Nothobranchius furzeri: one gene and its partner. The protein of the gene in region 1 interacts with the protein of each later gene in a pairwise test. Links are inferred from orthologs where the notes say so. Each region holds a gene or a part of one and is shown on either strand. Other genes may lie near its edges.

What was found.
Region 2: the proteins of jade1 (region 1) and yju2 interact in a two-hybrid assay, tested with the Homo sapiens proteins (2 studies listed by BioGRID and IntAct). The two-hybrid records come from large-scale screens. The link is inferred for Nothobranchius furzeri from reciprocal best matches to the Homo sapiens genes JADE1 and YJU2.

Annotation. Positions count from the first base shown.
Region 1 is NC_091758.1:17,731,490-17,735,694, reverse strand, and holds the start of jade1 (protein Jade-1), read right to left. Parts: upstream 2,811-4,205; 5' UTR 2,692-2,810; coding exon 2,678-2,691; intron 1-2,677.
Region 2 is NC_091758.1:25,015,578-25,019,589, forward strand, and holds the start of yju2 (splicing factor YJU2), read right to left. Parts: upstream 2,805-4,012; 5' UTR 2,674-2,804; coding exon 2,650-2,673; intron 2,403-2,649; coding exon 2,302-2,402; intron 1,643-2,301; coding exon 1,498-1,642; intron 1,398-1,497; coding exon 1,263-1,397; intron 1,183-1,262; coding exon 1,001-1,182; intron 913-1,000; coding exon 765-912; intron 490-764; coding exon 324-489; intron 237-323; coding exon 115-236; 3' UTR 1-114.

The sequences.
Region 1 (4,205 bases):
GGGGAAGACTTCTGACTTAACAGCTGTCCAAAAGACAATCATTGACACCTTGCACAAGGAGGGCAAGACACAAAAGGTGATTGCTAAAGAAGCTGGCTGTTCGCAGAGCTCTGTGTCCAAGCACATTAACAGACAGGCGAAGGGACGGAAAAAATGTGGTAGAAAAAAGTGTACAAGCTCTAGGGATAACCGCACCCTGCAGAGAATTGTGACGACAAACCCATTCAAAAATGTGGGGGAGATCCACAAAGAGTGGACTGCAGCTGGAGTCAGCGCTTCAAGAACCACCACGAGGAGACTCATGAAAGACATGGGATTCAGGTGTCGCATTCCGTGTGTCAAGCCACTCTTGAACATGAAACAGCGCAAGAAGCGTCTCGCCTGGGCCAAGGACAAAAAGGACTGGACTGATGCTGAGTGGTCCAAAGTTATGTTTTCTGATGAAAGCAAGTTCTGCATTTCCTTTGGAAATCAAGGACCCAGAGTCTGGAGGAAGAGCGGAGAAGCACAGAATCCACGTTGCATGAGGTCCAGTGTAAAGTTTCCACCGTCAGTGATGGTGTGGGGTGCCATGTCATCTGCCGGTGTTGGCCCACTCTGTTTCCTGAGGTCCAGGGTCAATGCAGCCGTCTACCAGGAAGTTTTAGAGCACTTCATGCTTCCTGCTGCTGACCAACTTTATGGGGATGCAGACTTCACCTTTCAACAGGACTTGGCACCTGCACACAGTGCCAAAACCACCAGCACCTGGTTCAAGGACCATGGTATCCCTGTCCTTGATTGGCCAGCAAACTCGCCTGACCTTAACCCCATAGAAAATCTATGGGGTATTGTGAAGCGGAGGATGCAATACGCTAGACCCAACAATGCAGAGGAGCTGAAGACGACTATCAGAGCAACCTGGGCTCTCATAACACCTGAGCAGTGCCACAGACTGATCGAGTCCATGCCACGCCGCATTACTGCAGTTATTGAGGCAAAAGGAGCCCCGACTAAGTATTGAGTGCTATACATGCACATTCTTTTCATGTTCATTCTTTTCAGTTGGCCAACATTAGAGAAACAAACATTTTTTCATTGGCCTTTAGAATATTCTAATTTTCTGAGATACCAGATTTGATGTTTTCATTGGTTGTCACCTATAAATATCAAAATTAAACGTAATAAACATCGGAAATACATTGGTCTGTGTGCATTGCATGAATATAATGTACAAGTTTCACGTTTTGAATGGAATTACTGAAATATTTTCAACCTTTTGATGATATTCTAATTTACTGGCCAGCACCTGTAGAAGTCACAGTCAGCCGATTCTTTGGGCCTATTTTTAAGGCTGAATTTTCCTACCTTATTTACACACTAAGATGTCACTAATAACAGTGAAAGCACAACGTTCACTGAATTTAACTAACAATATTAATTTTGCGTGCATCTCCATGTTTTAATTATTTGTTTAATCAAAGTTAATCAAAGAAATGAATAACAGACACGTATTAAATATACAAAACAGGTAGGTAAATAAAATGTTAATCAACAATAATGTTTTAAAGCAAGTGTTATTCAGGAACGTAAATACACATTAAAAAATTAAATTCAGCAGCAGCAGTGGGCTGCCAGCGGAAGTGCCCGACTATATGTATAATAACTGGTAAATATCGCCCTGATATATCGGTCTATTTCAAGTTTACATCCAACAACAACCCACAAATAAACAGAAACACCACCTGCCTCCAAGGCCGCAGAGTAGCAAGAAATTACAGCCTGGACTTAAAGAGCAAGTCAACCCCTACCAGAGTCTAACTCCACTCTCACTTCCTGTTTGAAAAATGAAACAAATGCTGTTGCCTGGCAGACCGAGAAGGCGGAGCTGCTAACAAATACACACACACAGGCTCACAACAGCATTGTGACATCATAATGTACCAGTTTACATCATAGCATACCTCTTAGCCAATAGCGGTGGCAGACTTAAATTAAAATACAGTGCAGAGTTTTTACCTGACAACGGCACAACACTGCCAGTTTTAGGCAGAATATTTAAATTTTAACTAAGATGGACTGAAGTGCCAAATTATTCACTACACGTGTCTGCAGCACGATTAGACACTCGTTTATTTAGTTTATCAGCAAAAAAAAATTTATTTGGGGGTGACTTGCTCTTTAAATAAGATATGTGTTCCAAGCCGGATGTGTGTGTAACTAACAAAATAAAAAAAAACTTCAAAGTAATTTAAATGAGCACGTTTTTATTTAAATGTAACAAATGAAGAAATGGAAATGTTGTTTATTAAAATATGATGGTGACACCACCACATGAACCACTTATTTTTTTGAATATTATAACCGGATATTGTCATTTTAAACTCGCTTCACTTCCGGTGTTATGCCACTTTCCGTTTCCCGTTTACATAGACGCTGAAACACCAATGTTAATCTGAGCAAACGCGTTTGTATTTTGCTTCGTAAGAACCATCGGCATATAAAAATAAGAACTGGCGGCTTCCGTAGACTTCCGAAGCGGCCGTACAACGTAATCTCAACGTACACGCACACACAAAAAGTGTTGACAATTAGTAGTTTTACGTTAAGGCAGACAAAATAAAAACAGACCCCACGTTTGATGTTTGATAATATCAAATTGATATGATAGGTCAAAGAAAATACAACAATAACTTACTGAAAACGGTTCATTAAATGCTGCGCTGATCACGTAGCGAATCGGCAAATCTCACCAGATAACCTAACTACCAGTAGATTCTAAACACCCGTGTCCGTGACGCCCGTGTTGGTGCAGCAAAAAGTGACGCTGAGAAAAAAAAACTACAGCGGAATCCAGAAAGCGGCTGTGTGTTCCGTTAGATAATGATGAAAAATTCCAAAAGACCCAAAGTTGTTCTGAATTTGAAAGATCTCACGGTGATTGCAGCTATCGAACGCTGCTAGCCCGATAGCTGCTGCTGTGTGCATCGTCCAGGCCAACACATACCCGGCGCCTTAATGGCGTAATCATCAGATAACTACTTTCGCTTGCAGTATCGAGACACAAGAACCGGTATAACACAGTTCACGTCACACAACTTCACTCTAGGGGAAAAAAACTCAAAGCAAAACAAATATGCCTGGGGTTAGCAACTTCGGAGCTAGTTGGTAGCCATTGCAGACGCTGTGTCCCTTATTAAATCAGCCACTGCCGCAATCAGTCAAAAGTTAGGGGTCAGATATTAATGCATAAATCTTACACAAGTTCAATATACATCTCTGGATAAGAAATATTAATTAACATGTAAACACAAGTTGGTTTTCAGTGTGGCTAACCAGCAGTAGAGAGTGGGATGTTTACAGAACGGGCTGAGGTAAACCTTTGGCGCCATTTTAAATGACGACGTCGCGTTTTCCTAGCGGACCGCTCGTGCGACCATAACGGAAACTTGCCCACCTTTCCCGATTACAAGATTTGTTTACATGTGTGCGTGTTAATAAGAACACTTGAAATAAGTTGTACAGTACGTACGAGCACGTCAGACCGATGCAAGCCGATGCTTGAGTTCGCTGTGGGGCGCAGTTTTAGCTGAGATCCGCTTGACCCGTATTCCAGAGCGGCGGTCTGGGAGGAGGTTACCAAGGGACTGCAGCTGCGCCCGGACTCCGCTAGAGGGCAGCACACTATCCCACAACCAGATCGGAGATGAGTATATTTTATTATTGCCGTGATCATAAACGTCCAAAGTATTTTACCGCCTCAGGAAAATAATGGATTTGTTTATTAAGAACCAACGGATTAACTCAAATTTATCACAATTCTTGTATTAGTGTGAATGACTCAGCTTTCCCAACACCCACTCCTTTTAGGGCAAACTGATTATTAAAGAGACAGATCATATAAAAATACCATTTATAGTTTAGGGTTTACTGCTAATAAACACTTGGTATCTTTAAAGATTCATTTAAATTATGTCAGCTGAAGAATTGTGTTTATAACATGGAGCTAAAATAGAAACGTTTCTTCTTTACACAACATTTTTCTTTCATTTAAAGTTTTGTACAAATTTACTTTTTTAATAAATATAAATGAAATGCAAATATTTGCACCATTGATTTATAAAATTTAAACACTTTTAGATTCAAATCAAGTTAATTAACCTTTAAACATATTAATTTTAACCACCTGATCGAGGAAATCAGCTTCCTGCAGTAAAAATTTTATT
Region 2 (4,012 bases), about 7.3 Mb from region 1:
ACTTATGTAAATATGTCTTCTAATACACACCCACCAATAATTACACAATTTCACTAAATAATTCTATTCCATCATGTTCCCTGTTGCATTATTTCTGTGCCAGCCGGGTTTCAGTCACTCGCTTTCGTTGCTGTCGCTGTCTGAATACGCCCCCAGCAGGCTGAGAGATGATGACCCATTTGGGGTGGCGCCGGTTTTAGAAGCGTTGGTGGTGTCGGTTGTTGATGTCTTTGAACCTGTGAATAAATTACATTAATGTGGAATAAAAGATTAATAATTAAGCTATTGAGCTTTTAGAATGATCGTCAACACAAAAATTTTACCTGTTTTTGAGGCAGGGGGAGCTTCCTCTGTACTCGGTTTTCTGATCATCGCTGCTGGTTTCTTTCGTACTACCAGAGAGCTGAGAGCTCCTTTGCCTCCCAGCGTCCCAACACTCCTCTCCCAGCTCTCTACCTTAGCCCTCTTCACGCCCCCGGATGAGGACCCCTGCGGAAACATGCATCAAATATTCCACTATTCGCTGCTTGCAGCTTGGTTTTTGTCATGTTTGTTCATTTTGAGCTGTAGGAAGCTTTATTCCACCCATGTCAGTCTTTTAAAATGATGTAAAACCTTCTACAATCAAACTTAGATTTTTTTTAACTACATAAAGAAATTGAAGATTTTAATACTAAGCTTTTAATATTTATATAATAACTTTTAAAAAACAGCCAAAATAAGCCATAACCCAATATTTTACATATATGAGACTCTGTACAAACCTGTGCTTCCTCGTGTTTATCAGTGGTGAGGATATCTGTCGGCTTGTCTGCACCAGCAGTCTTTGACTGGCTGCTGCTCTCCTCTTCTTCTTCTGAATCAGAGTCGGAGTCTCTCAGTCTTTTCACGAGCACCCGCTCCAACATCTCTCTGCAAAGCAATATTTGAATGTTTAGCAAAGAAGCAAACAGACTTTTCATTTAGACGTGCAAATGATACACGAGCCGTTCTCACTCACTTTGTTTCACGCTCATCTTCTTCTTTTTCTCTTTCCTTCTCCCGTTTTTCCAGTTCTCTGTACTGATCAATCATTCCCTCAAAGTCCACCTGTGCCTGCCTCTGATTGAGCTCCTTCAGCTCCTGGAGGTTTTCCAGAACTTCCATCTCCATCTTGGAATCCTTAGTGCGATTCTCCAGCACCTGAAGGGGATTAGGGAAACATTACTTAACTGTTCAGAACACTAATTTGAAAAACAAGAACAAACATTTAAAACACCAACCTTCATGGGGTTGTTTAGCTCCTCGTCTTCCCTCTCCTGATGGATTCTCTTTTCCTCTTCCTCAATAAGTTTCTCTGCCTGGAAGTTGCGTGTTGCTCCATGCTCCATGGCATAATCCGTGTTCTCTGGGTCAGTCTAGAATCAAAACATAGGCGTATGTGGATATGTTACTAGCAGATTACTAACAGTAAAAGCAGCTTGCAACAGTGCTATTGTGACAATAATAATACCTCACCTTAAATGTTATTTCAGCAAGACATCGAGTACATTTGATGTAGAAACGAAAGATTGGCAGTCCCATGTAGTGCTCGTTCTGGACAGTCTCTTTGCGTGCATTGAACTTCTTCCCCTTGTAGATGTACTCACCGCATGTTTTACACCTGCGTTTAAACATGCATACATCTCATTAAGAAACCTCAGTCTGATATAAAAAAGCATAATCAGGTTTTAACCTAAACACAATGAACCAGGATTTCTGATTTAAATAGACGTATAGGGGAACAAACTAAATAAATGAAGTGTGGCAGTGTGAGCGTCCTGTCACAGTGTCTCGACTGATCATGCGCCCTGGCTACTTCACCAAGGGCTTTGGCTGACTGTTTAGCGTGCGTTACTCTCACTTGGGAGTCTGGGGATCGAATCCCACCCGGGCCCTCGTTTCTCTACCTTGCCACAGAAGGAAAAGTGTTCATTTATAAAATTAAACTTAGACCTTTACGTTTAATCTTAACAACTGAGTTTATTGTATACATTTTGTAGTAAGTAAGTAAGTACGTAAGTAAAGTTTATTTACGTAGCGCCTTTCACAGATATAAATCACAAAGCGCTGTACAACATGAGTAAAATCAGGGCAAATACCTCAAACCAATAAAAACATCATGTGACAACAATAGTAACCAAAATCAGGAGTAAAAACACAGTCAAGATGTGAACAAGAAAGATTTTGTGTGAAGAAACAATCAAACTGTAGGAATCATGCTCTGAAAGTGGTTGTATTGTCCCACCAAATGAAACTAAACGCACTCATTTACACACCTACCTCATATTGAATGGAGCCATCAATCTGACCACATACTGTCGATCTTTTGGGAGTTTAAGTTTAGGGATTTTGGACGGGTCGAAGTCTGGAGGGTAATATTTCTGTGGAAGTAAAAGCAGAAGTTAAATAATTATCAGAGACAAAGCCGTAAACATGTAATGAATCTAAAAAAAACTTTTTAATCCAAAACTCATTATAGGTTACGCTCATTAAAAGTTACAAACGTCAACACGTCTCGTTTATTTATCAACACTGCTAATGTTAGCTTGTTCTCGTTATCTATTAAGACGGAAATTACTCTGTTTCTGATCCACTTTGTAAAAACATCACTCTGTTATGATTACTTACGTTCAGAACTTTTCTTTCAGACATTTTTTACTTTTGTTAGTGATAAAAAGTACAGATATCTTAAAGGTTTAGAAACTAGTACGCAACGTTGACTATTAGTGATAGCACTGTAAACTTCCGGTTTCTCTGTTTAGTCACTTCCGCCTTTGAAAAGGCGATGCTGCCCCCTTGTGGAACGACGACGACCATAGATATCATGTCCATGGAAACATAAACTACAAACACGTGTTTACTCGTTTATATACATATCTAAGAAGAAGAAGAAGAAGAAGAAGAAGAAGAAGAAGAAAGGAGTTTTTATAAATATAGCTCTTAGATGAAAATCACGAGGCGCTTCACAAGAAACAAACAAAATAAAAGATTCAAAACGATGATAATAAAAATCAGGGAAATTGGGGGGAAAAGGAATGAGAAAGATAATTTGGTCGGATTGGCATTGGCATGAAATAAAATAATTTCATTTGGTGATTATTTAAGCAAAACACCTCGGTGAGTGTAGAGAATGTGTTTTATTTGGGATTTACAAAACGTATAACAAGGATTTAAAGATTTTTTTAAATTAAATGTAAAAATGTCGACATTTCAGCATTTAACACATCCCAAATTGTTGGAATACGTCTGGGTACCCAAAAGGCACGTCAGACACATTTCAGAATTAGGTAATAAATAAATCACCCAAAACAAATCGGACAAACTTTATCTCATTAGATCAGCCTGCGTCATTGTTTGATGTACAGAAACCATGCTTCCTTCTGTTATCTGTCTTTGTTTGGAGACAGTGAAGAAGGTCATGACCTTTGGCTTCTCCCTATGCATCAGAAATAGGGGTGTCTGCAATGGTTTGGTGGTCAAACACTGTTCAGGGGTTAAAGTTTATCTGTGCAGAAGGAAATTGGATCTTGAATACAGGTTGGTGTCAGTGTGGACCTGAGATCTGATTTAAGCTTTAAAAAGGTTAAAAGAGTTCATGTTAATTAAACAATCTATGGGGTATTTGAAGAGCTAAACAGAACATCTCTGCTTAGATCCGCCTGCTTCAAGCCCAGATAACTGATTATATCTTTGATGCTTTATGTCTGTGTCACAAGCAGCTTTGTGATCAACATGATTCATCAGTGAGTCGGATAGAGACTGATTTCCCTGAGACAATCATAGAAAATAATAAAGATGTTTATTGCTTTTAAACATTCCATAGCAGGGACATAAAATATTAGACACTGGTTGTTTTGCTGCTTGTGTGTTTGGTCAGCTTGGGCTGTTTTTAAAGCCTTTTATAAAAAAAGCTATCTATCTTTGTTTATGTGCTTAGCAGACGACTTACAATTTTTTTAACCTATAGGGCATGTTGTGATCTGTTTGGAAA